Linked DNA regions of Astyanax mexicanus. The protein of the gene in region 2 purifies or fractionates together with the protein of the main gene of each other region. This does not show direct contact. Links are inferred from orthologs where the notes say so. Each region holds a gene or a part of one and is shown on either strand. Other genes may lie near its edges. The genes, in order: recql4, sirt1, brinp1 and ect2.

What was found.
Region 1: the proteins of sirt1 (region 2) and recql4 purify together in Homo sapiens (affinity purification with mass spectrometry; 3 studies listed by BioGRID). This does not show direct contact. The link is inferred for Astyanax mexicanus from reciprocal best matches to the Homo sapiens genes SIRT1 and RECQL4.
Region 3: the proteins of sirt1 (region 2) and brinp1 purify together in Homo sapiens (affinity purification with western blotting; 6 studies listed by BioGRID and IntAct, with this or other methods). This does not show direct contact. The link is inferred for Astyanax mexicanus from reciprocal best matches to the Homo sapiens genes SIRT1 and BRINP1.
Region 4: the proteins of sirt1 (region 2) and ect2 purify together in Homo sapiens (affinity purification with mass spectrometry; 3 studies listed by BioGRID). This does not show direct contact. The link is inferred for Astyanax mexicanus from reciprocal best matches to the Homo sapiens genes SIRT1 and ECT2.

The regions. Positions count from the first base shown.
Region 1 is NC_064410.1:3,356,216-3,363,133, reverse strand, and holds the start of recql4 (ATP-dependent DNA helicase Q4), read right to left. Parts: upstream 3,022-6,918; 5' UTR 2,779-3,021; coding exon 2,695-2,778; intron 1,486-2,694; coding exon 1,452-1,485; intron 1,344-1,451; coding exon 1,249-1,343; intron 1,144-1,248; coding exon 1,003-1,143; intron 32-1,002; coding exon 1-31. Other genes in the region: olfactory receptor class A-like protein 4, read right to left, coding at 3,971-4,183, 5,478-5,732, 6,485-6,748. UniProt on the Homo sapiens protein: An ATP-dependent DNA helicase which unwinds dsDNA with a 3'-overhang in a 3'-5' direction. Does not unwind more than 18 bp of dsDNA. May modulate chromosome segregation. The N-terminal domain (residues 1-54) binds DNA Y-shaped DNA better than ss- or dsDNA.
Region 2 is NC_064414.1:2,518,272-2,525,923, reverse strand, and holds the start of sirt1 (NAD-dependent protein deacetylase sirtuin-1), read right to left. Parts: upstream 3,012-7,652; 5' UTR 2,915-3,011; coding exon 2,575-2,914; intron 1,351-2,574; coding exon 1,231-1,350; intron 1,107-1,230; coding exon 868-1,106; intron 144-867; coding exon 1-143. Other genes in the region: dnajc12 (dnaJ homolog subfamily C member 12), read left to right, coding at 4,526-4,603, 5,294-5,372, 5,623-5,762, 6,002-6,131, 6,477-6,562; cytochrome c oxidase subunit 5B, mitochondrial, read left to right, coding at 7,630-7,652. UniProt on the Homo sapiens protein: NAD-dependent protein deacetylase that links transcriptional regulation directly to intracellular energetics and participates in the coordination of several separated cellular functions such as cell cycle, response to DNA damage, metabolism, apoptosis and autophagy.
Region 3 is NC_064408.1:4,680,162-4,687,626, forward strand, and holds the start of brinp1 (BMP/retinoic acid-inducible neural-specific protein 1), read left to right. Parts: upstream 1-4,456; 5' UTR 4,457-4,917; intron 4,918-7,465. UniProt on the Homo sapiens protein: Plays a role in neurogenesis and brain development. May suppress cell cycle progression in postmitotic neurons by inhibiting G1/S transition.
Region 4 is NC_064423.1:4,513,351-4,520,324, reverse strand, and holds the start of ect2 (protein ECT2), read left to right. Parts: upstream 1-3,955; 5' UTR 3,956-4,299; intron 4,300-6,192; 5' UTR 6,193-6,209; coding exon 6,210-6,342; intron 6,343-6,536; coding exon 6,537-6,616; intron 6,617-6,974. UniProt on the Homo sapiens protein: Guanine nucleotide exchange factor (GEF) that catalyzes the exchange of GDP for GTP. Promotes guanine nucleotide exchange on the Rho family members of small GTPases, like RHOA, RHOC, RAC1 and CDC42.

The DNA.
Region 1 (6,918 bases), on a different chromosome or scaffold from region 2:
TGGCTGCTTTTTTGAGGGAGAATGATCGTTCCTAAATTTTAAGATAAGCAGGAAGACAGATGGGTAGACAGACAGATAAGACAGCTACACTGCTAGACAGTCAATTTAATAAGAGTGTAAGAAAATAACAGTATCATGAATCATGCTGTATCACAATATTTAGTTTACCAATACTGTAATTAAACACAGTTCAAAAACAAGAAAAATCAGTAAATCTTAAAATTCTTTAATTTTCACAAAAATCATCAGTGCTCCTTATGTATAAATTCTACCAGTCAGGTTTCAAGTAGCAATAAAGCCACTCCACTGAATTACAGCTTTATAAAGGTGACTTTCAATAAAGCCTCTGAAGCGCTAAGGCTGGGTGCAGCAGTATTAGCATTAGCCGCTAACCGCGCCATTCATAGTTGAGTATATCGGCCTGTGGCCTGTGCGTTTACCTTGTTAAAATAAGCTACTAATGCTGCTGTACCCAGCCTTAGTGAAAAACTGGAAATCTAAGCTTACTCTAAATAAACGGGAAGCGCTTTTCTCACCCAAATAAACAGTTTTCTAGATTAACATCCAGCACTACTTTGACTTTAAAAGAAAATGCTTTTTTTTTTTTTTTAAGAATTACAGTTATGTTTACTTAAGGTAGCTCAGCTTCACAGGTCTCGTCGCCTTCTGAATTACAAGGAAAACATGGTGATACCCTTGTTTCTTCCTAGTGTCGCATAAAATGTGCCTCATAATCCAGTGCACCTTATAGTGCAAAATACGATACATGTTAAAATTGGTGTCAGACAGTGGTTCATTTTAGCAATAAACAGTTCTGCAATTTAATACAATTTAATTCTCACTTGCCTAGGCCAGCTGTGATAAATACATTATTCAACTTAATCAATCAATTTATAACATAAGTACATGCATACATAGATAATGCATATTCTTGTGGTAGGTTCACATGTTATGTGTATTATTTACGAGCATCTATAGTTATCGTGACAGGCCGACACTTACCTTTGACAGAGCTCCGAGATTAGACTTCAGCTTCATGCCGAAGTACTGAGCAGATGCATGCAACGTCTCTTTGTCTTTTAATGTCAGTTTGGGTGCAGCCACTGGCATGCTCTTTCGGTTAAGGTGAGACCCCCAGCAGTCCTTTTAATCACAAGAACACAATCATAATTTATTTAAACATACGGAAACACAATTACAGATCAACACAGATAAACACAGAAACACTGCATAAATCAGGGTACATACCATTCCTGCAGACTGGGATTCCTGTGATTTCACCTGAACATCACTCTCTCCACTAACTTTCGCCTCTTTAAGAGTGCGATACTCTTTATAAAGTTCTGCAAGAGAGCAAATATATTCAGGACATAATGAATATATACAAACAGAACTTTTTATTTAAGAGACAAAAACACGTGCAGTGTATTAAAAATTGATTATTAACTTACGCCTGGTCTCTTCTGGAGCTGCATCAATATCATCCTAAAAAAGCAATCATTAAATTATTTGAGAAATCAACAGTTTAATCCATAAAAAATGTGATAATTAATTGAGAAAAACATCTCACTTGTAGCTTTCTTTATTTAGTTTATAAAAAAAAAAAAAAGACATATTATTGTATAAAAAAAACTGTTTAAGGTTTACATTCCTTCAAATGTCTATGTATAATATTACAAATATATAATAAAAACAACAACAGGATTATTTTTGGAAATACCACCCAATGTGTTACCGTAAAACTAAGATTATCATACTTTTAAAATCTCACAAAATGTAGAACAAGAACTGCTTATATTATTCAACTGACTGCTAAAAATATTAACATACAGCAGATAGTTGACATAATCAACAATGTTTAATACATATATTTACTATATTTATATACTCACACACGCAAACGCACAAATATACATATACATGTAATAAAAAGAACAAAGATTATAATCAGGTGTTTTTTTGTAAACATGTACAGTTTTTACTGTTAATTTGTGTTTGTACTGTTAGGATTTTATGTTGTCCTTAGAACAATAAAATAGACAATTAAATCATATATTTAATTTTTTTTTCTCATATTCTTAGGAGGTTAACCTTATCTATCTATCTATCTATCTATCTATCTATCTATCTATCTATCTATCTATCTATCTATCTATCGCAGCATCACATAGACTTTAATAATATCTACCATGGAAAAAAATATATATATAAATATATAAATAAATAAATATTATATATATATATATATATATATTTTTTTTTTTTCCCATGGTAGATATTATTAAAGTTATTATTCCTCCATATTTCTAGGAGGTTACCCTTTTTTATCCAGCTTACTTTAGAATATCAAGTTTATTCGGATTTAATCACTGTCTTTTAAAACAAATAGGGTATTATCTCAAATGGTGTACATTTGCACGGGCGAGCTGAGATTTATTAAAGAATAGAAAAATAAATACACACAAGCATGACAACATTAGCTAAAGTTAGCTAACCTAATTATCTATCTATCTATCTATCTATATATATTAATAAATCATTATTTAGCTTAAAATTACCACAACTACAACAGGAACCAGCCTGCAGGTAAACACACAGCTTCACCGAGAGCAACAGAAACTCACATCTGAACAATAATGTTTAAATCACTCAGTATAAGAAGATATACAGGAGTAAACATGTAGCTAATGTTACCTTGTTGGGTTTCCTGTTGTTTATCTGCATAAAGGACTGTTCCCATTTCTTCAGGAGGATTTTTAAATCGTTATATCGGTCCATTCTGAGCCCTGAGAGAACCTTCCTAATTTATCTACAGGTTTTATTAGGCTACAGTGAATATTATAACATACAATAACAGGCTGCGCATGGGTGAGAGTTTATACAAGAGAAATAACTTAATAACTTCACCAGAATAACTCAAATAAACCAAATAACCAGCCTTTTACTAACTAACTATCCTACAGATTCAGCTTCAGCTCTCAGCTCGAGCTCCTTTCAACTCAGCGCGCCAAACCTCAAGCCGGTCGGAAAACACAGGAAGACGTCGAACCGGCCCCTGTCAAAATAAGAGTCCCACGTTAAAAAAAAAAAAAAAAAAAAAACAGTTTAGACACATTTTCACTTTCAATGTTTTTCTTTATTTCTTTATTTAATCGATAATAATAACAGTAATAATGCATGGCCTCGACTTTGTATAGTGTTGTATTGTTTGTATTTATGGGACATTCTACCAAATGGGTGCCATTTGCTTGTTGTAAGTCTTCCAAATTTATTTATTTATTTTTTTCTAAAAATCTTAATCTAAAAATGCATGTATTTAACGATTTAAAACATGTGCTGGTCAACCTTTTTACAAGATTACTAAACTGAAGCTGATTTCTCTCAAGAAAGTCTTTATTTTAAAGAAATGGTTGACTGCATGTTCAAATAATTGATATTTATGACAAAACAAATCACTCCTGTTAATGGCACTCACTCCTGTCACTGGCACTCATTCCTGTTACTTTTTATGTTTTGAGTAACAGGATTGAAAGTAACAGTGAATGTTTTTAGCATAGAATTAGCAAAAACATGAAAAATAGCTAAATGGCGGCTATGCTAATGACATGAGGACACTGAGCACGTTCTAGTGATTTTTCCCAAAATATGTGTTATATTATATTGTAATCTGTGTTAAAATTTTTTGGACCACTAGTGGCAGCAATCGTGAGAATTTGCAAAAAAAAAAAAAAAAAACTGAACAGATAAAATGTTAAAACTTGCATGTTTATTATTGTCACCTGGTGTTTTTGACATAGATGTGGCACCATACAAGCCCTTTATTTATTATTAGTTGGCATGGCACAGTATTTATAGGTTTCAGAATAAAAGACCTATCATGACAATATCACTCTAGCAAGCTAAAGTAAGTTTATATTACTTTACTGCATTAAAATGTATCGTCCCTTAAAACCTGCAGAACACAAGTCAGTCAGTGAGAGATGATGGATTTAAAGAACTGTCTGAGTCTCCGGTGTCCCACAGCCAGGATCAGGGGAGACAAAGCTATAAAGAGACTGTTGGAGAAACGGGCCAGAACCAACAGGTACGTAGATGAAGCTCCGCGGTTGTAGTTGAAGTAGTTCACTGAGATCACACTTGCACCCCAGGACACGATGAACAGAAGGATCAGGGCTAGAATCACCTGAAGAGGAGAAATACAAAAAAAATAAGGGAGAAATTAATACAATTAATATGCCCACTCAGAGAGAACAAGGCCATTTGTGCTCTCTCTCAGACTCCAGCTGCTGATGCTGAGCAGCCCCCTGGAGATCTACCACCCTGGAGATTTCAGATTGAACGTACCTGAATCTAGAACATTCACATGCTGCTAAAAAACATTAATTATCTAGATCAGGTGTGAGGGATCTCTCAGACTCCGGCTGCTGATGCTGAGCTGAGCTCGCATCATAGAGCCACAATACAAAAAAAATCTATCGTCAAAAACTAGACAAGATTTATGTAAATTAAGACATATATGCTTATATTAAGCCAAAAAAATCTGCCAATGGGGTGAGCAAATTTTTCTTAGTAAGATTTATTACAAAAAAAAAAAAAAAACAATCGCTAAGTCTTAAAACGAGTGCGGTAAGCTTTAAATCAATCAAAAACATTCAAAAAACGTTTTTTTCTTGCCTTACATTTGGACAAAAGAAACAGAATAACTTAATTAAAATAAGAAAAATAACCTAATGCTTATTTTGAGTTCAAATTACTTAAAATAAAGTAAAAATTTGAAGTATGACTGACAGACCCTGTGTCAATTACAATGGACATCATGTAGTTTCTTTTTATTGAATGTTAATTTACACAGAACACTAATTGAGACGTTGATGTTGTCCATCAGAATAGATCATAAACCAGTCAATGAAACTAGCTTAGACCCGCCCACTGCATTGTACAAAAAAGAAAATGGGCATGTAATCACTACAGAACAAAAAAGGTAAGTTTATCTTAAAAATAAGCTTATTTTTACTAATTCTCTGCAATTTTGAACACTTTTTTGTTATGTTTAGGAATAAAAAGTTTAAATCAATTTAAAGTTTTAAATCAATTTTAATCAGTTTTAATCAATTAGCACTTTCTTTTTTTACATTTGTTTGAAATGTAAAGTGCATTAAAAATAAAATGTATTTTTTACATTTATTTTTAAATAGTGTCTTTTTTTTGGATTACAAAAAGAAAACAGCATTCTTACATTTTCCATCACTGGATCAATTAATTCATGTCTGAAAGGGACAATTATTCCTAAAATAAGCAAAATAATCTAACACTTACACGATGCTTAATAAGACCAAAAGTCTTATCAGGAAAGAATTTAGAAGAAGATTTATAGCCTTAAATTTGATTTTTTTTTTTTTTACTTTTTATGATTTAATTTTTTGCAGTGCAGCTTCTTATTGAAAATAAATGAAAGTTGTGGCAGTAAATGTTCTGACCTTGGCAGCTCGTCTCTCTGCAGGAACCCTGCGGATGACCGGAGCGTCCTGGGCTTTATTCCCGGTGCTGTGGGTGTTTCCGTGTGCGTACAGTGTGAGAAGTGATCCCAGGTTGGTGACGCTCATGAGCACGATGGGGATGATCTCGTGGATCACCATGGAGGTGGTGGCGAAGGCCAGACCGCTGTAGACGGAGGGAAAATCCCACAGGCAGCCCAGTAACGGACGTGTGGTGCTGCTCACCAACATTAACGTCTGTAGTTTAATATATAAGAGACAGAAGGGAGGAAATTTAGTGAGAACAGCCAACAAACTGCAGGTAATAAATACAAATTTCATGAAACACAATTTCTGATTCAACTGAACTAAGCCATGCTCTTCCGTTTGTTGTTTTTACATCCCTTGTTACTCCCATTAACTCCCATTCTTTTTCATGCATGACTTTATTATTTTTTCTTTAAATTTATTTCTATTTTTTTCCCATTTTTCCCAATTTATGTAGCCAATTGTTTCAATCATCAAGCTGCTGAAATCTACCTATAAAATCTAGGTAATTAAGGTCTTAAATTGTCTTGGTTTACTGTAAATTAGCTAGTGGAAAGCTAGCTAACATTAGCGGCGAGTTAGCTAATGTACTAACGTCAGCGGAAAGTTATGTTAACGTTACGGGGGAGAGAACTTTTGGGCCTTAAAAAGCATTAAATTTGACTTTTTAAATGGTGCAAGAACACTGAATCACCCAACACAGGGATGGTAAAGACCAGTACACTGATGCAGCATTGCCGAGTAGCGTCACAGCGCTAGCGACTCGGTTCTGTTACATCAGCTCACAGATGCAGCCTTGTGCTGATCCACGTCACCCTAGGAGTGATGAGGAGAAAGAGAAGAGCGCCATCTACTGTACTGTACCCACCCAGAGAGAGAGAACAAGGCCAATTGTGCACTCTCAGGGCTCCGGCAGCTGATGGCAAGCTGCATGACCAGGATTCAAACCAGTGATTCCGTACCTCTGTGGCGTTCTTTCCTCCGCTGGTGGAGTAAATGAAGGCAGGTACGGAGTAGAGGAGATTGCTGCTCCAGATTAAACCGAACCCCGTTAGAATTCCTCTGGGTAAACCTCGGGGACCGCTCAGGCTGGTAATGGGAGGAGCCGTCCGTCTCAGAGTGTGGAAATGAAAAGCACTGAGGAAGAACGTTGACCAAACGTTCACAGAGCGAAGCCACACCCACACACCCATCAGAATCTGACACCAGTCCTTTCCAGGTAACACCTTGAGGAAAAAATGAGAAGATAGGTAATTAAAAAGCCATCAAAAATTAACATTCATAAGTGCTCCGAAAATGTTGAGGCCCTTTAGAGGCCATCAACTTTTTCATCAGATTTTCCAATATTGGGAAATGCATTAAATTACACATTTTTGCTTAAATTTGGGCAAAAAGT
Region 2 (7,652 bases):
TTAAAAAATGGCCTAGGATCCCTTCTGAAGTAGTCAATATCAAACATTGCTTGAGGATCTGGAAGGTCTGGAAAATCAACAGCAAGTCGAGCATAAATTCCATCTCTGGATCTGAAGTCGGGTATTCCACAAGAAACAGATACCTGCAGAGAGTGAAATAAAAACAGAATCACTGTTACAGCTGAAATGTGTCCAAACAATAATGAATAAAAAAATCAAATTACTATATTGTCACATTAATTACCAGATTTTAACTATATAAAATCAATCTTCTGTAAAAGACATGACACTTAAGATTCAAAACTATTTACTGAAGCACTAATGAATGAATCAGTGGAATAATGTGATTTCCATATAAATTGTTAGAAAAAGGCCTTGAAAAATCCAGAAATCTGTTGTCAAATGTGAAAAATTGCACAATAATGACTGGATAATACAAACTGTTGGGGGAGACAAAATATTGATATCATTACATCATATCACTGTGGTGGTGCTAATCAAATTAATAGGGTAAACCTGCTAAATATGGTAAAGCTGCTGTGAATAAGAATATTGGTTGTCAAACTATGTGAAACTGACACCAATAAACGTGTAATACCTGATTTTTGTCTTTTTTTTAATGAGTTTTTGACTTGTTAAGTTTCTAATGTAGCAGAATCACAATATCGTGGTTGCATCATTGTCATGGTCAGCATATTGTGATAATATCGTATTGTGAGAGGCCCTGTGAGTCCTACCCTTACTTCTAAGTACAAAACAGGACAACAAGCTTACAGAACAGTGTGAATACTTCTAATAAACCAAGGGACTTTTTTTTTTATTTATACCTGATTATATCAAGATGTTAAACCTAATTAAATAACTCACCCCTGCTCCAGTTAGGACAAGTATCTTTTTGCCATCATTAAGCAGTCTGACGACATCCTCCAAGGTGTTAATATCTTTGCGTTTCTTTCTTTTAGGAGGCTCAGAAATATTAATGATAATCTGCCACAGTGTCATGTCGTCTAGATCAGGTGGAAGAACAGTTTCTGGAAGTAAGTCTTTCAAAATCGTCCTCGGGTCGGTCTCTCTCATGATGTGCTGCTGAATGAAACGGTAGGAACCTGTCCAATCACACAACAATGCATACAGGTTAACATTTAAAAAAGCGATGCACTAATGTGAATATTTACAGATATCTGAAATTGTACTGAAATGAAAGCTTGTTTGCCACTAGTTCGAACATACCAATCTGAGGCTGAGGAGTCCAGTCACTGGAGCTGGCATGAGAAGAGCAGTCATCATCATCTTCATCATTAATATTAGGAGAGTAAAACCCATTTGGGCGGACACTGCCGTCGATTACCCCTGTAAAAGAACCAGAACCATTAATATCAAGCACTTTATGTACTTACGGCAAAGATTTTTAACCTAAAGCACAACAATGACACATGTGCTAACTCTGTTTTACTGGTAGAAACTCATTTCAGATATTAGCTATAACATATTTATTAGTACAAAAATTTAGATCTGCAGATCTAAAAAAAAAAAAAAAAAAAAAAAATCGTATTGTTTTGTTATAAAAGTCGTATTGTTTTGTTATATTGTTGTTCATTTGTTTTGTTATATGTGTGTTGGTTGTATATGCTGTGAATTTGACCTAATATTGTGTCTATTTCAGTATGTTAGATTGTATTTTATATAAAAAAAATAATAGTAAGTTAGGTTATCCAACCTAACTTACTATACAGCTAACTTTACAGCTAAGACAGTCAGTTTTACTGATTAATTAACGTTAACTAAGTAATTCTGTTATTGCTGACTATGGTAGTATTCTAGCTTAATTAGTTTCTTCAGATCGATCAATAAAACTGATAAAATCCTAATTTAGCGTTAGCCAAAAGATCCTATGCTCTTCCTTTCCTGGGGCAGTCCTGATGAGTGCCAGTTTCATCATCATGTTGTTTTGATGGTCTTTGCATGATTGCACTTAAGGATACTTCCATTTTTTTTCTCTTTACATAGTTGAGTATTTTTGACATAATATGGATTAGAACATATAAATTCCTAGATATTTTGAAGCTTTTTAGTCTTATTTGAAATTTATTTTCTGTTTGTGTGTGATTTTGTTTTGTTTTGTTATATGTGTGATGTTGGTTGTATTTGCTGAGAATTTGACATACTATCTTGTTTATTCATTATGCTGGATTGCATTATATACAAGAATTAAAAATAATAATAAAAAAGTTTGTTAACCTAGCTAACTTTACATCTAATACAGTCAATTTCACTTGTTAATTTACTAGTTAATTCTGTTATTGCTGACTACGGTAGCTATCTAGCTTAATTAGTTTCTTCAGATAGATCAATAAAAGTGATAAAATCCTGATTTAGCGTTAGTTAATAAGGATATTAATATAACGTTATATTTAAATTCCCGCTGCTGTTGGGTAACGGGAAAAGCTAGTTAGTTAGCTGACTGGCTAATTCAGTCACCGAACCATCGCGAGATTTTGTAGCCAAATCTCGCGCTAACATTAGCCTCGGAGCAGCCGCCAATCGTCCCAAACCCCCTCGGTGTGATCCGGTTACCTGAGAGCTCGTGTTCCGCCGCGGGTTCGGGAGTCTGCTCGCTGTTAGAACCGTGTTTACTGTTCTCAGACATCAGCAGTCCGTCAGCGGGTTCCCCCGGCGCCGCGGCCTCAACCCCCGCCTTCCCCGGCTCCTGATCCGCGGGCTGGGTTAAATCCTCGGCCGCCCGACCCTCAGCGAGCTCCGGCTCTCCCGCGCTCTGCTCGCCGCGGGTCGGATCCGGATCGCGGCTTTTAGATACACTAATCCGCGCTTTCTTCAGCACAGGCTCTTCCGAGTCACCAGAACCGGACCCGGTACGAGAACCGGCTCCTTTTAACGAAGCCTCCCCGTCCGCCATCTTCCTGTGCTCGCGCCGTTCCTGATGTGATGTGATGTAATGGACACGGGCGCCGTACGAGCTCGCGAGCCTCTCACCACACACACACACACACACAGCTGGGGGATATTTAACCCGCGCACGTGACTCCCGCTCCGCCACTACAACAACGTGAATGACGTCAGTCAACGGAGCCCTAACAAAGACAGGAGAGCCCATAATAAACCCCACAAACCAGCAGATTCATACAGATATAAATCAATAAAACAGATTATTCAGCTGATGCAGACAAGTTTCAACTGTGTGTTCTGTACATTTTATTTAATAGTATTTTTCTGGCAAATATTATTTACACAAATCCCACTATAATAGTCGATAATTTAATTAATTATTTCGAATAAGTCAAATTTAATTTATTAATAGTCATTGATAATTTCAGAAATGTCCTAACATAGATTTAAAGATTCAATTTTTTTTTAAGTTTATTGTCATCTGCACCCTTAAACACAATAAAGTACAATAAACTTCTTTCTTTGCTTCTCGAAAATGATCCCACATAAAGAGAAAAGTATAAAAAATACAATAAAGCAAGAAATAATAAAGTAAATAAATATAAATATATAATACATTGGTGTTAAATTTACATCAATAATTAGGAACCCACGCATTTCTGGGTATTGATACCAAACTCAAAATTAAATCAGAAAAATTCAGTGAGCAGCCCATTCATGTTTGTTTCCTACCGTGGACACACAATAAATATTGTGGACTTAAATATTTTAAGTTTAAAACCATAATGCAACATAAATGACACAAAAAGTATTTCCTAACTATTATGAACATTTATACATTTGTTATGCATTTGTTTTAGAAATCATGTTACTTCAAACAATACACTTTAAAACTGAGCTTGTTTAGTTTTATCTCCAGCCCTAATCCTACAGCACTCCTACTGTACTATTCTGTATAAATGAACTCACATGAAGGAACACAGATTCACACACTGTCTTGTAGTGATGATGCTCTCAGGATGTTCAGTACAGTCAGTAAGAAACTTTACACAGCTTTTAAATGGTCTGTGACATATGTTACTGTGGGTTTCTTTTTTGATAACAATTCCATAAATGTCCTGAGAATAGTAGCTGGCTGTAAGATATACGTGGGATGTATTTTGTATAGTGTTTTAACATTTATAGTATATAACCTAATATACTAAAATAATAATAATAATAATAATAATAATAATAACAATAATAATATAATTGCATAATAATAATATTATATTATTTAGTTTATATGTATATATTTTATATGCTTTATAAAATGTGATCAGTATATTAATAAATAGAATCGCTTGTTCTTTATATAAGAATTTCATATTAATTTGACAAATAGAAATGCATAACTTATTTAATATTTATTATTGACTTCACATTGACTTTACATTGGCAGTGTTGATTAGATGTATCCGGTAGCTTGTGAATGTTTGTGCTGCTGTTTTAACGAATGAAAATCAAAAACATTTAGTTTTGTCTCGGTCACTCCGGGTCCGGTGGGCGCGGGGTTTAGGGTATTTACGGTAGAGTCCGCGACGGCGGAGTTCAGAGAGCTGCGGGGGAAAAGGCTGCTCTTATGGAGGCGATACTGAACTGCAACCCGGAGGATCTGGAGGATTATTATGGGCTGCTCGGCTGCGACGAGCTCTCTACGGTAAGAGTTACCCGCTGTACCGGCTCTTCTACCCGGTATCAGCCTCCAGCCAGGCGGGGGATGGAGGTTAACGGCTGGGAGAGCCACACACTGACCAAATACTGACTAAACACTGACCCAACACTGACCACAGACCAAATACTGACCAAACACAGACCACAGACCAAATACTGACCAAACACAGACTAAAAACTGACCATACACTGACTAAACACAGACCAAATACTGACCAAACACAGACTAAACACTGACCATAGACTGACCGAAAACTGATCAAACACAGACTAAACACTGACCATACACTGACCAAATACTGATCAAACACTGACTAAACACTGACCATACACTGACCAAACACTGACTAAACACTGACCAAATACAGACTAAACACTGACCAAATACTGACTAAACACAGACTAAACACTGACCATACACTGACCAAACCCTGACTAAACACTGACCAAATACTGACTAAACACAGACTAAACACTGACCAAATACTGACTAAACACAGACTAAACACTGACCAAATACTGACTAAACACAGATTAAACACTGACCACAGACTAAACACTGACAATACACTGACCAAACACAGACCAATAACTGACCAAATACTGACCAAACACAGACGAAACACTGACCAAATACTGACTAAACACAGACTAAACTTTTATGTTTATTTTTTAGACTGAACAAATTCTCAGAGAGTTTAAAGTGAGAGCACTGAACTGCCATCCTGACAAGAACCCCAACAATCCCGCAGCAGGTGAGCTGATTATAATTTATTATGGCTTTACATATACATTTTTAGGTATGAAATCTGAACCTATACATGTATATTACAATATACATATTACACTTAATTTTAGAGTTAAATGGCGGCAATCGCATTTGACTTACTGAATCATTGATTAACTATACCAGCTTGTGGATGATGCAGCACATAATACTGAATAAATTCATACATACTGATCAGATGATTTGATTTTCTTGCTGATACTGTGTGTGTTTTGCAGTGGAGGAGTTTAAAAAACTACAGGAGGCTAAAGATGTTCTGACTGACGAGTCGAAAAGGAAGAGTTATGATTTCTGGATGAGGAGTCGGATCACTGTGCCGTTTAAAGAGTGGCAGGCACTGAGGGACTCCGTAAAAACCGTGAGTGACATTATCGACTGGATATTGCTGATCAAATAATCACATTTATTTATGTGTGTGTACAAAACTATATTCAATTACTCCAATATATATTCTATGTTATATGATGTACAACAGAACATAATATACAGAGTATTACACACAACAGACACACAAACACACTCTCTCTTCTGACTTCATATGTACTGAATGAATGTGCTAATAACTGTCAATCATTTATTGTCTCTAATTGTCTCCAGTCAGTGCACTGGGCTGTAAGAACCAAAAAGGAACCCATGCTTGCTGCACCACAAGATATATCTGAAGTCAGCACCGAAACCAGAGCCATCCAGTCTGAGGGTCCAGATTCCATAAAGGAGGAAACATCTGGTGAGATTTATTTTGTTTCAGTAAATAACTTTCTGGATATATTTTTATTATGAAAGTCTGCGCGAAAAACTAATATAATAGTAATAAAATAAAACATCGAAAAAGTAAGGCGATATCACTATGATCGGAGAAACGTGAGTTTGAATCCTGGGTCATGCTGCTTGTCCATCAGCAGCTGGAGTCTAAGAGAATACAATTGGCCATCCTCTCTCTGGGTGGGTAGGTGGCGCTTAATCCCCTCATCACTGGTCAGCACAGGCATGAAAACTGGAGAAAATTGGGTAAAAAAAAAGATTTAATAAATTGGTCTATCTGTCCATCTAATTCTGTTTTTTTTTCTTTCAGGTGAGGATTATTGGTGTCACAGATTTCGCTGGGCAAGTGATGCTCCCTCAAGCCTGTTGCAAAAGTTTAGAAATTATGAAATATGATTATAATTATAAGCTCTTCATGCTCCAGACTTGCTTGCTGTAATTTGTGGTAATGGTTAATATCTTACAGAGATTATTTCTTATTGTTAAATAGATTAGACTTTGTGTGTTTGTATGTTGTTAAATTTATAAACTATGTTAGCTGTTGGATAACTATGGGAAATGTGTGCTATACTGTAAATGTTCAAGCTCTCAAAAGTTAAAAAAAATGTGAAGAAAAAAACATGAATAAAAACAGTCACAAACTGACAAAACCACTGTCAAAAACTGTTTATTATCATTGTGGTGGTACGTACTTTATTTACTCCAGATACACACATGTATATGTGTTATACTCATGCTTTATACACTATACTAAGACTATATCCAGTACTCATGCTTTATACAGTAGACTCACACTATATACACTATACTCAAACTATATACAGTATACTCACACTCTACAGTATACGTGCCGTGTATACAATATATTAATTCTACACACAGTATTTTCACATATACACAACACTATATACACTATACTCATCCTATGTACAGTATACTCACCAAATGTATACTATACTCACATTATAGAGCGCACGCATGTACAGTATATTCAGATTAAATATAGTATACTCATATACACTAAAATAATTTTATATAGAGTAAAATCACACTGTGTGCATGGTAAGATTTTGAAGGTGAAATTTGCAGAGTCCATGTCTCGAGGGGTCAGAATTGTTTTAGGGGCAAGAGGGGGACCTACTCAATATTAGGTGGGTGGTTTTAATGTTATGGCTAATTGGTGTATATTATGCAACTTTTTTAAAATAGTAGTTATTTTTACTCACGTGCTGCTTATGATCAGCTGTGCTGGTGAAGCTCACTTCAGACTCATTTCCTGAAGCCCCGCCCACTGAAAGCTTATTGGTGGAAGAGAGGTGACTGCTGCAGGATTGGAGGGTTTTGGTGTCAGTCATTTCTCCCAGTCGGTCAAGTTCAGTCCAGCTGACTGTCGGGTCACAATAACACCAGTTACACCAGTAGCACCAGTAACACAAACAGCTCCTGCAGTGAGAGTGATAGAGATGGCCAGTAGGATCCTGCTGCG
Region 3 (7,465 bases), on a different chromosome or scaffold from region 2:
CAGTATCTACTATGAATTATTCAGTATCCAATATGAATTATTCAGTATTTACTATGAGCTATTCTATAACTTCCATGAACTATTTAGTATCCACTATGAATTATTTAGTATCCACTATGAATTGTTCAGTATCTACTATGAATTATTTCATATCTAATATGAACTATTCAGAATCTACTATGACTTATTCCAAATCTAATATGAATTATTCAGTATCCACTATGAACTATTTAGTAACTACTATTAACTATTAAGTATCCACTATGAACTTTTTTAGAATGCACTATGAACTATTCAGTATCTACTATGAATTATTCAGTATTTACTATGAGCTATTCTATAACTACTATAAACTATTCAGTATCCACTATGAATTATATAGTACCCACTATGAATTATTCAGTATCTACTATGAATTATTCAGTATCCATCATGAATTATTCAGTATCCACTGTGAACTCTTCAGTATCAACTATAAATTATTTACATCATTCACTAAAATGATTAAGTATTTCATATCTAATATAAATTGTTCAGAACCTACTATGAACGATTCACTATCTACTATTAATTTCTCAGCATCCACTTTCAATTATTCTACACTTATCATTCAGTATTTTATATTCAGTATATTATAAATTACGTGCTCTGTACCTGTGGTGAATTATTTAGTAATTTATGTTAATTACCAGTACAAACTATAAATTATTGAATATGTTTTATAAATTAAACTGACACTACTAAGAACAATTAAGCATCTATTTGAACCAAGTCTTGCAACTAAATTTTGCAACTCATTGTTAAGGCAATGTAAATAAATTGAACAAATCCAGGCTTGCTTATATAATATTTACTACACAAATTAAACTAAAAAGTAAGAAGAAATGAACATTTTTCTCTACGTGGATCTTAAAATACTAAGTAGAATTAGCAACAAAACTTGGGTCATTAATTTCAATACACAGCTCTGAAAAAAGTATATAATAATGAAAGACCACTTAAAAATGATGAGTTTCTTTGATTTGACCAAATTAAAAAAACTCTGGAATATAATCAAGAGGAAGATGGATGATCACAAGCCATCAAACCAAACTGTACTGCTTGATTTTTTGCAGCAGGAGTAAAGCAGCATAAAGTTATCCAAAAGCAGTGTGTAAGACTGGTGGAGGAGCATGAAAACTGTGATTAAAAACCAGAGATATTCCACCAAATATTGATTTCTGAATTCTTAAAACTTTATGAATATGAACTCTGCATCTTTTTTTGTTGTTGTTGTTGTTGTTGTTATTTCAGCCATTTCTCATTTTGTCTGTAGTTTATAGAATAAAGCAACAATGCTAATTTTACTCAAATATGCACCTATACGTAGCAAAATCAGAGAAACCGATTCAGAAACTTAAGTGCTCTCTTAATCTTTTAATTTTCTGAAATATTGATATTTTGTCTCATATTCATTTTTAAAAGAGAAACCCACATGTTTTAAGTTCACAGCAGAAATAAATGGATTTGATCTCACTGTTTCTATTCTTTTGGAGGGACTGTAACTCTGTAATTCTGAGCTTTTAAGGGTTTAAACTTTTCAGTGAGACTAAGAGAAGGACAGGACAGGCAGCTGCTGTCTGGTCCAGCAGTGCAGAACAGTCTAAAGTGCAGAAGAGCCGTTTGGAGACGAGCCTAAAAGGACAGTGATCTGAATTCAGCACCACGGACAGCGTCTCGTCCTCTCCTGCGCTTCGTTTCAGTCGCCTCTGCTCTTCCTGAGTCCTGCGTGAGCCGGGATTACGTCCTGAAGCTCAGTGAAGTGTCTGACGGAAGCCGTCTCAAGGCCGGCGCTTCAGAGCCGCTGCTTTTATACAGATACAGCTTTACAGAAACGCTCATCAGCGCAGGATCAGCCGGAACCCATTCAGAACACTGGAGCCGGAGATGTTGCTGGGGAACAGAAAAGCATTCAGGACCTCCAGATTCATTATTCCTGACCCAGAGTTCAATGAAGACGAGCAGCAGAGTCGTGTACAGAGCTTTAAAAAAGATTTAAAACGCTCAACGTTAAACCTGCACCAATTTATTTTATTAAACTGTAAGCTTGTATAAGTTTAATTTACTTTAAAAAAAATATATATAGCAAACTGGTTGCCTTAAAAAAAGTTCAGTAATTGGGGATAAAAGAACTTGAGTTAACATTAATTAAAATATCAAATTAATACAATTAAAGGGGATTTTTTTTTACATTTTTGTTATATCAATTTATTTGCCCAAAAAATCTATTTAGTATCTTGTGTTCAAAAAAATATAAATATGTTGATCTTACTTTTCTTTTGAATTCCATTTTAATGAAATATGTATTTGATAAATAGTCACACTAAAAGCCAGGAAAACATGCATTTAGAAGCCAGACAGTTAATCATAATTTTTTTTTTCATTTAAATAAAAATTTTCCAATTTTTTAAAATTCTAATTCAAATAAAAATCATTTGTTAATTTTTAATTGTATTTTTTATGAAACTATGAAACTTTTATCTTCCTACTTTTTTTCGTACGTATCCTACTTTCATATATATCCCTCTCCTCAAACCTCAATCAATCTTTTTCTCTCTTTCACTCTTTTTTTCCTTCCTTCCATTTCTGTCATAGTTTCTCTAGTCCAACTCTTTATTGCTTTTTTACTTTATCACTCCTTTATCTTTTCTTCTCTCTCTCTTTGTTCCTTTCTATTTTTAGAGTGTACTCTTATTCTTTATTCTTTTGTCTTTTTATCTCCTGACTCATCTCTCTCTTATTATCTCTTTTAATTTATCCCTCTCTTTTTTTGCTTATCTCTAAGTCTCTCTCTCTCTCTCTCTCTCTCTCTCTCTACCACTCTGTATTACTTCTTCATATTCATCACTCACTTCATCTTTTCTTCTTTCTCTTTTCAGTTCACTCTCTCGTTTTCTATTCCTCTATTTTTACCATCCTTCACGCTTTACTTCTTCTTCATCTTCAACAGTCTTTTATATTTTTATCTCCTGCCTCCTCTCTCTTTATTTCTCTTTCAATTAATCTCTATCTCACTCTCTCTTTCTATTCATCTTTCTTTAGCACTGTTTATTTATTCTTTTCTTTCTTAATTCATTTCTTTTCTGCTTCCTTTCTCTCTCTTTTTATATATTTTTTATCTCCTGTCTGTCTCCCTCTCACTTTCAATTCATCTCTCTGTCTTTGTTTATCTCTTTCAGTTCATCCCTATCTCTCTTTCTCTCTATCTCTCACACACTCCCTCTCACACTGTATGTATATATATCTCTTTCTCTCTCTTTTCTTTTCTTTCTCTCTGTCACCCCCTATCTCTCTTTATCTCTTTTAATTTGTCTCTCTCATTCTGTTTATCTGTTTCAAGTCATCACTCTCTTTTTCTTCCTTTCTTTCTCTTTCTCTCTTTCTTTATCACTTTTAAGTCATCTCTCTCTCTCTCTCTGTATTCCTTCCTTACCTTCATCACTCCATTATCTTTTCTTCTTTTTCTTTTTAGTCCATTTTACCACTCTATTTTATATATATATATATATATGTATATATTCAATTAATTTATCTCTATGACTTTGTTTCTCTTTCAAGTCATCCCTCTCTCTCTCTCTATCTCACACACTCCCTCTCTCACTCTTTCTCTCACGCTCTTTTTCTCTGTATCTTTTCTCTTTGTTTATCTCTTTCAAGTCATCCCTCTCTTTCTTTTTCTCTCTCTCCCCCTCTCTCTTTTTATCTCTTTCAAGTTGTCCCTCTCTCTCTCTTTCTCTCTCTTTTTTTTCTTTCTTTTTCTCTCTGTCTCCCCTATCTCTCTTTATCTCTTTCAATGTGTCTCTCTCTCTCTCTGTTTATCTCTTTCAACTCATAACTCTCTTTTGCTTCCTTTCTTTCTCTTTCTCTTTCTCTCTCTGTATTCCTTCCTTACCTTCATCACTCCATTATCTTTTCTTCTTTTTCTTTTTAGTCCATTCTACCACTCTATTTTATATTTTTTTATCTCCTGCCCCCCTTTCTCTCTTTATCTCTTTCAATTCATTTCTCTCTATGTCTTTGTTTATCTCTTTCATGTCATCTTCGTTCCTCCCTTTTTCCCATCTTTTCTTCTTTTTTTTTCACACTGTTTAATATGTTTTAGCTACTGCTCTCTCCCTCCCTTTATCTCTCTTTTTCTCTTTATCTCTTTCAATTCATCCTTCTCCCTCTTTCTCTCTCTTTTTCCCTCTCTCTCTCTCTGTTTCTCTCGCGCTCTTTTTCTCTGTATGTATCTCTCTCTCTCACTCATCCCTCCCTTCCTTCCTCCTTCATCCCATCACCATCACCACCACCCTCCCCAATCCCTAAACCGCATTCTCGGCACCTCCCTCTCTCTCTCTCTCTCTCTCTCTCTCAGCTCTCGCGCGCTCCTCTCTCTCTCTCTCTCTCTCTCTCTCTCTCAGCCTCAGCTCTCGCGCGCGCTCTAACCCTCCCGTGTGCGCTCGTGTTCTCTCTCTCTCAGCTCTCGCGCGCTCCTCTCTCTCTTTCTCTCTCTCTCTCTCTCTCTCTCTGAACTACAGTGTGTCTATCGGTGGGGAGGTAGAGAGTGCGCGCGCGCTGTGCCGTGCAGTCTGCTGTGTGTTTTTCCCGGGCTTGGATATCTCTCTTCCTTTCTTCTTTTCTCTCTTTCTCTCACGTGCATCCCTCCGTCCATCCCTCCGCCGTCGTCGTTTTCTTCTCGTGCAGCTCCTGCGCTTTTTCTCTCTCTCTCTCCTGCTCGATGCTGCCCATCTCCTCTCGCGCTCGAGCATGAGCTGGGCTGCCCGTGCTTCTGCAGTCCAGCAGCCGCGCGAGCCCTGGATGCGCCTCCTCTCGGCCACCAACGCAGCACAGCAGCGGGCAGCGCGTGCCCAGCCCACGGGAGGGAACCGGTTTTAGGTGAGTTCTGGGTTTGTTTGCTCGGTTGTTTGCTGGGTTTTGGGTGCAGAAAGAGCTTTTTCTAAGGCGCGTGCGGCTCTACTGGATTTACTCCGGGGTTTGGTGCTGAAGCTGATGATGCTGGTCCTGATGTTGCTGATGCTGATGCGTCCGGTGTGCACCTTCAGTGCACTGTTCTTGTGTGTCCCAGGCTGGGGGTCTAGCGCGTGCTGATGTATAAATATATACATCCACTTATTAAACTGGCAAAATAATACCCAATTTACAAATGCATCGCAAATAATGCAAAATAGCATCATGCAAAAAAAGAAGAAGAAAAGCATCATTTTTTAGATCGTTTCTGAGATGCATGGACTTTTTTCCATAGTTAATAATATGCACATTTTGCTTGAAGAAATGTAGCATATATCTCGCTAAACAGTGCAAATTTTGCATAATTTTGAGTCAATTCTTTAGAAGCATGCAATTTATTTCACAGTGAGACCTTTATTGGCACAATTGCTTAGCTTGCAAAATAAAGCTCATTTTGTGTCATTTTAAAGCTAATTCTCCAAATGCATGGATTCTTTTTTACAGTAGGATCTTTATAGTCCATAAGCAATGTTAATATGTACCTATAGCTCGAACATCGTGTTCATAGCTTGCAAAATAAAGCTCATTTTGTGTAATGTTTGAGCTATATCTTTAGATGCATGCACTTTTTAAACAGTAAGACCTTCACACCCCATAGCCGAGGTTAATAGACACAATTGGCTTGAAGAAAAGGTACATAGCTTGCAAAATAAGCCTAATTTTAAGTCATTTTTTAAATGATAATTATTCAGTTGCACCTTTACAGTCCATAAGCAACATTAAAATGCACCTATAGCTCGAAGAACATGTTCGTGTTTTGCAAAAAAGACAAATTTTGTGTCATTTTTGACTTAATTCTTTAGAACCATAGACTTCTTTTTACAGTAGGATCTATATAGCCAGTAAGCAATGTTAATATGTACCTATAGCTTGAATAAAGTGTTCATTTCTTGCTGAATAAATAACAATTTGTGTCATTTTTTAAGCTAATTATTCAGATGCATTGACTTTTCGAACCGTAAGACCTTCACAGTCCATGAGCAACATTAAAATGCACCCATAGCTCGAAGAACGTGTTCATATCTTGCAAAAAAGACAATTTTTGAGTCATTTTTGACTTAATTCTTTAGAAGCATAGACTTCTTTTTACTGTAGGATCTATATAGTCTTTAATCAACGTTAATAAGCACATTTGGCTTAAAGATCATGCCCATATCTTGCAAAATAATGGATATTCTGGTTAAATCTCAAGCTACTTTGTATTATAAATCACATTTTCTTCTTATGAGCTTCTTTATAGTCTATAATTAACGTAGATATGATTGTCCGGAGGCTTGAAACCACTTCTGTGCAGTCACAGCACCGTCAGCTCTTGCACAGTACAGCACATTTCCCAGGCTTCAGAATGAGCTATTTCTTCCGAGACATGGAGTTAGTCAATAGCAGGAGCTTCATAGCCCGTAAGCAATGATAATGTGCCAATTTGTGTTGAGGAATGTGCCCATTTCTTGCAATAAAAAGCAGATTTTGTATCATTTTTGAGCTAATTCTTTAGATTCATGGGCTTATTTCACAGTCTGTGTTCATGGCGGTGTTTAAGCACACCTTTACGCTGAAAAATAAGCCGATTTCTTGTAAAATAAACCATATTTAGCTGATTTGTGGTCCATAGTCAATGGAAATATGCACTATATGCACTATTTTGCCGGCTTAAACCACTTTTTTGTCTAAAGATTGCATAATAAAGCACATGTTGGTTGAGCTAGTAATTTTTTAGCTAATATTTCACATGCATTGACTCTTTTTAATGCTTTAACCTTCAAATTCTGTCATAGGCCAGTGTTTAGATGGGGAAATAAGGGAAATAATGCAAAATTACAACTTAAAATGTGCTATTTTTTTCAAATGCATGCATCTTTTTGATGCTACGTGCTTGATTTTATATTAGTACCAGTTTATATTACTTTTAGAAGGTTTTAAACAGTTTTTGCCAAAAAAACAAAGCACTCTTTTGATGATTATTCTCATGCATATGGCTTTTTTTTAAATGCTATAACCTTCGTAATCTGTAATCAATACAATTGCACACCTTTAGACTCAAGTGCATGCTCATATATTGCAAAATAAAGCACATTCTGACTCATAAATGAGCTATTTTGTAATTAAATGCAGACATATCCATAAATATGTCATATTATCACCCTATAAAAGTCCATAATCAATGTGAATATGCCCTTTTAGCCGGCATTTTCCATTGTACAGAGGCTTAAATCCCCTTCTGTGCAGCCACAGCACCTTCAGCTTGCACAGTAAAGCACATTTTGGCTCCTGAATTAGCTATTTTTTCACATGCATGGACATTTTTCACAGTAGGACCAACATAGTCCATAGCCAATGCCAAAACACACCTTTGGCTTGAAGAACAAGGACATAGCTAGCACATTAAAGCACATTGTGACTTATAATGACTCGTTTA
Region 4 (6,974 bases), on a different chromosome or scaffold from region 2:
TACTAGTTTGTTTCACAATAAAAGTCATTTAGGTGAAAACAGGAAGCAAAGCCAAAAACTTATACATGGTGTGTAAATATCAGAAAAATATTAATATCAAAAAACCTTCCAGACTTTAAACGACTAGTTATGTTAGCCATGGTTAACCTAGGACTTTACATGTAACTCATATTAATGAACACTCAGTGTTACCTAATAGCCATTAGGAAATCACTGGTCTTAAAATCATTTTGGCAGCATCACAACTTTTCCCTTATAATCTCAGTTAAGCATTTTATCTCCAGTAGGGGTGTCAATATGGTGCTAAAAATAATATCATGATATTTATTGGTATTATGTGGTATTTTCGCAATAACAATACTCTTGGCAATATGAGAAAACACTGAATAATATATATAAATATATATAAAACATATGATATATATATATATATATATATATATATATATATATATATATATATATATATATATATATATATATATATGTATATATATATATATATAAACATATAAAACACATACGTATATATAGACAATATATGTATATATACGATATATATATACTATATATATATATATATATATATATATATATATATATATATATTTCAAGAATACACTACTGCAACAAAATGAAAATCTAATTGTATTAGTGCATACGATATAATATGCTACACCCCTAACTGAGATATAAAAAAAAAACACGGATTTTTATCAGATTTGTAACAGAAGTCAATTATCCAGAATGTCATGATACTAATAATAATGCACTCCAAATATCTCCATATTCCCAGGATTAAAGTAAAATAAATGATACTGGACAGATATAATCTATAGTCTCTAGTAGATATACCGGTATAATGGTAAATGAGAACAGAGTGATTTTTTCTTTTGCTAAAAACTGCAAAAAAAAGTAGTACACTGATGTGATAATTAGGGGTGGGTGATATGGCACAATATTTTAAGGGTATAATATTATAGTTCAAGATATTCAAAAAGGTTGGCGATATTATTGTGCACGATACAATATGGCACACCACTAATCTCCATTTCTTTCCTTCGAGCCATTTCTTGGTGGATATACTAGACGTTTTCAAGAGTCATTGTCATGTTGCATGGTCCACCTCCGCTTTAGCTTTAGTTTTAGTTTTAGTTTTTGGTGCAGACAGACAGAGAGAGTCTCACTTTTTTCTCAAGCCTCCGTTGATACAATAAAGACTTCACAGTGGCTCTATTATGGAGAATAACATATAATAAGATCACTTACCTTTACAGTAATTATTTTATATATTTCTTTAATATATATATTTCAAGAAAATAATAATAATATATATATATATATATATATTAAATTCTTTAATATATATAGTTTTTGTCTATGGATCTATTTTATTCAGTGATGAAGGGTTAGGATTAGGAATTGAGGAATCTCATTTTGTAAGTCACCCCATCTGTTAATAGCAGTGAAATCGCTCCTTGCTCTGAAAAGTGTCAGTTTAATTTCTTCTAATTTCGTTTCTTCCTGCCAAACTGTCAAACGGGAAGCAGAGAAAAAGACAGCTGAAAAAAGCACTTCTGTTTCTTTTCTTTTTTTTCTTTTTTTTTTGAATAAATCCAAGTTCATTTGGTCTTGATGATGTGAGGAATATAAAAGGTAGCACTAGCGGTACAGGTGAGGTTTTAGCGCAGCAGGTGAAATCCAACCTGCTGTTTAAAAATGCAGCAAAAACACTGTCTACTCTATGACAAATAGTATTTTACTACAGCGCTCCATTCCCTAAATAAATTCCGTTCGCTCAGGAGCTCTCTGAAATCTCAGAAAGACTACCTACTGTGACTTTGTGATAGACGTTCATCTTCTGCCACGCGACCGTTTAGTTCATGTCAGGTGGTCCACCTGGGGGAGACCGCTGGGTGCGCCTCTCAGAGAGTGACAGAAAGGAGAAGGTGGTAAAAGCAGGCTTCACCGGGCTTTGTTCTACAGAGGGGGGCTTTCAAGCTCCAGTGGGCCTATGAGGAGAGGCAGAAGGGGGGAGAGCACACAGTCGCAACAAAGGGCTGAATCTGCCACACAGTCACTCAGAGTCAGAGGCTAAAAAACAAAAAGAGAGAATCTCTCCAGTCCTCATCAGTGTGTCCTTCAGCCCGGGCACAGACACAGGTTTCTCAAGGCCCCTCTGAAGCCGGTCCCAGCAGCCTCAGCAGCCGCAGGAGCAGCCACCCCCCCTAACCACCGCCTGGGAGGAATTGGTTATGAGCCTCGGCCTCTGGAGCCGCCGCGCTGGTGAGCTGGAGCAGAACAAAGACACAGACTTTTGAAGAAGCTCTCATTTGAAAAAAAAAAAAAAAAAAAAAGGGCCAGTCTTCTTCTTTGTGAAATGATATGGGAGACAGGCGACATCTTCATTTTTCAGAGGCCTGTCATGTGGTATCTGTGTTGGCTTAATATTTAAGATGCGCAGAGCAGTGAAGTCCCAGCAGCAGCTTAATAAATATTTATTCTGTGAAGACTCAGACTTCAGACTTCCCAGCTTCACTTACTTACTTCTCCTCTGTAGTTCTTGGCTTCTTATAAACAGACAGGTGGATAGCCTGTGGTCAAGTCAACACATTTATGCAATTTAACATTAAGACAGTTGCTTAAAGAGCACCTTTATGTTAATGCTACTGTCTGCTTATATACAGTTATGTGCCTGGGCTGGCGCTAGCCATTTGAGTGCTCACCTTTTTCAATAATTTATTGGTGTAATTTGATAACAGTTTGATTAGTTGGTTTTATAGGACTTCACATTACTCCAAATTGCCACAATAATATCACTAGATACTTAAATCCTGAACAGTATCAAAAAGTCTCTTTAAAGATTTAATGGTGGGTTTGTTTGTTATATAAAACAGCTTGATTTTCTGGTTTTATACGACTCCAAAATCTGGTTTATTAAAAACCGAAAAGACATTTTTCCTAAGTTTGACTTTCCTTTACTTGAAAATGCTACAGTAACATAACTTGATACTTACTGTACATCAATAATAGTATGGAAATGGTTCTTCAATGATTTGCTGGTTTTATAGGACTCCAAAATCTGGTTTATGCAAAACCGAATGGACATTTTTTCTAGGTTTGCCTTCACATTAATCCAAATTGCTACAGTAATGTCAGTATATGTAAATGTCTCTTAAAGGATTTAATGACTTTATTTAATAAAAGTTTGATTTACTGGTTTTATAGGACTCCAAAATCTGGTTTGTGGAAAACCAAACACACATTTTTCCTAAGTTTGATACTTGATACTTAGTCACTCAATACTTACAGTACAACAATATTAGTATAGAAAGGGCTCTTCAATTAAATTTTTCCTCTTTTTTAAATGAACTAAAATGCCTGTCCTCAAAAAGCTAACCTAGTGTTTGTGATAAATTAAATTAAAAAAATAATTAGATAGTTTCTCAAAATATATTTAAATAATGAGATAGCATCTCAAAATAACGAGATAGTATCTCAAAATAACTAGATATTTTCTCAAAATGTCTTTAAATAAGGAGATATATTAAAATAATCTAAAAATATCGATTTGTTATCTTAAAAAAATAAATGATCATTTTAGAATAATGAGATAGAATCACAAAATAACGGCATAGTATCTCAAAATAATGAGATTTTGCCTCAAAAAAAAAAACTTTGTATCTTATAATAAAGTTACTTAGCTAATAATGATACATAAATATGTGCTGGATTAATGTTGTGAATTAGGTGTGAGGAATGAGCTTCTATACTAGTGAAGAGATGATTTAAAGCAAATCGGAATAAAATAATCTGAATAAAGTATAAACTGTTTTCTCAGTCAGCCCAGCGCACGCGCCCCGCCACTGCATCGCGGTTTGAATTTAACAGCCAATCCGGAGCCACTTCCGCCAACCTCATCCGCCTCAGCCAATCAGCGCGCGGCTCCTCGGTGCGGCTGTAGTTTTGAATTCAGAACGGGAGAGGATCTGCTGGAGGAGCACAAAGCTTGAAAATGGATTTAATGTTTACACTTGTTTCCTAGCGTTTCTCAGCCCACGCGCTCTGTCACACCCGTGTCCGGCGGTGTGGTTTATTTTATACGGGTTATCGCTCGGTTTTTGGGGCGGTTTGTTGTGTGTTGGGTAGTTTAACAGTGGGAAAGGGAGGCTGCGGGGAACTCTGTGTAGCTGCTAGCCGGCCTCCTGCTGCTGCTGCTCAGCCAGGCAGCTCAACTCTCAGCTCCAGCAGACCTTTCAGCACTGTCCCCGGGCCCGACCTGACTCTTGCTGACCCCGGGTAAGTCTTCTTATCTCTGCTTCCTCTCTCTAAACACATTTATTAACTTTAACCACTGCTTTTTGCTTTATTTTTAAGGTTTTTCTTAGTAGCAGTGCTTCCAGTAGCCCCCCACCTTTAGCTAGGCTAGCTAACTAGCAGACAGCTGTCACTGTTTAAACACAGCAGCTAAGTAGCTAAACTAACTAGCTATTTTTAATAAAACTACATCATTTTAACCTTTATGTTATTGTCAAATGTATGTACACCCTTTTATTCTTGGAGGAAATCGGCCTTGGGCTCATCAGAACTTTAAACTTTAAGAAACTTGACCTAATATAGCTAAATAAACATGTTACCCTACCCAACACAGGTTTGTTAACTGGTTAATTAGCTAAGTTAGTTAGTTAGTGTTAACCTTGTTAACAACTTTAAATTATTTTTATTTTATGTGTTAGTCCACAAAAGGAAGATAATAAGAGACCACTTAATGATGTTTTTCCTTGATCTTGCAAAATTGAAAACCTCTGGAATATAATCAAGAGGAAGATGGATGATCACAAGCCATCAAACCACCAAACTGAACTGCTTGAATTTTTGAACCAGGAGTAAAGCAGCATAAAGTTATCCAAAAGCAGTGTGTAAGACTGGTGGAAAAGAACATGATGCCTAGTTGCATGAAAACTGTGATTAATAACCAGAGTTATTCCACCAAATATTGATTTCTGAACTCTTAAAACCTTATGAATATGAACGTGTTTTCTTTGCATTATTTGAGGTTTCATTTTTTGCTAATAAAAGGTCTGTGTGTATGTACTGTATATTAGTTGCTGTCCAATGAAAAACAAGTATTTACATTTTGTTAATTTTTTAGTTTACTACATAACTTAAACAGACAAACTGTCCCTTTACACTATCAACATTTCTTTATGAACGGACAAATAGAAAAATTTCAGCATGACCTGAAACAAACTCTTTTTACATCGACTTCCATTGAAAATTTAGAAGTTTTTTTCTCTCTTACAAAGTTGCTGTTTTGGAGATACTTTTTTTTTTCAATGCATAGCAACTATTTGTAGCATTCCTAAACTGTTTCCAGTTGCTTCCAGACAAACTTTGGATAACTCTTCTTTTCTCTACCTTTTTACCTACTATTTTACTAGCTTGAATAGATTTATTAAGTTTGCCAAGAGTGTTAGCTAGCTTAGTTAGCTACTTAAGGCTAGCTAGTTAGTTAGATTAGTTAACTAACCTAGATGGGTATAGGGATGTTTAATAGTAGGTTAACTTTTTTTGACTTTAATTATGTTCCAATGATTAAAAAATATGAGAAATGCTGTTTTCCAAAAAAAAAAAAAAAAAAAAAAAAAATATATATATATATATTAATGTTATGTTTAACTTGTTGCCCTTATTACATATAATACACAACATTATGTTGATTTCTTTTTCAGAAATGTTAAAACAGTGAATAGGCACAGAATTTTCCCAAATATAAAAGGAAGATTAACATAATGTTCCAGTGAGTTTGAGTGCAGCAGTTTTACAGTAAGTAGGGTGTAATTTTCTCTAATGTCATTTGTTGGATATTATTATTATGGACACTATGAAAGCAGGCACTACAAAAAAACAAAAAAAAACCCATAATTTTCCTTTATTCTGGGCATGACTTCAATCTCCAATATTGGAAATAATAGAACTTTACTGCTAATTAGAATAAATTGTCCCATTATAACTGAAGCACATACAACACAACGAGTCTAAATATAGCTACACATAGGAAAAAAGTTTTATACTATAAAAGTTAAGTTTCCTTTTTTTTTTTGAGGGTCATTGTTTGCAGTTTGCTGAACATAGAGTTCACGACTTTCTCTTCTCCCTTTTTGATGTAACTGTTAATTTTCTTTTGGACAGGATTGGGTCACAGCACCATGGCTGACAGCAGCATAGTGACTTTGGGCATGGCCCGTAGCCTGCTGGTGGACTCGTCTGTGTACGACTCCAGAATGGCAGAGACCTCTAAGGAGCACACCTTCCTGGGGCTGGCTCCTGATGAAGCAGAGGGTAAGTGAGGTCTCCACTGGAGTAATATATCAAATAAGATTTGAATTATTTCTTTATTTTAGTTTAACATGCTTCTGTCACTTTATTCTAAATTGAACAGAGGAGCCCAGATTTCCATTTTTGTTTGACGTATGACAGTATATGTATTTCCTGGGAGACTTGCCTTGATTCTTGTCTTATTCTTATTCTTTCAGAAATCCTTCGCCGAGTGGAGACTAGAGTAGTGCTGGTGGGAGAAACAGGCCACGATCCTGAACTTGTAAAGGCATTGGAGGTAAAGTGGGATTGATTGCAATTTACTGTCGATAAGGAAAAATCATATTATGCCTGTACTGTATTTAACACATAGTGACATTATGCAAGATTAGCCACAGTGATACATTTTTGTTATTTTAATTTTTAGTTATATTTATATATATTTTTTTGTGTAATGGCACTCAGTAATGATTACTGGTAGAAATCACAGGGCATGGATATTATGACTATACACTGCCCACAATTATATCACAATACTATGATTCTGCGATATATATCGCACGACAATCATCTACGATACTTTCACAAAATTTGACCAGTATTAAATTATTATGAAACATTGTACAAATAACGTGCATTGCTTAGCTTGCAAAGTA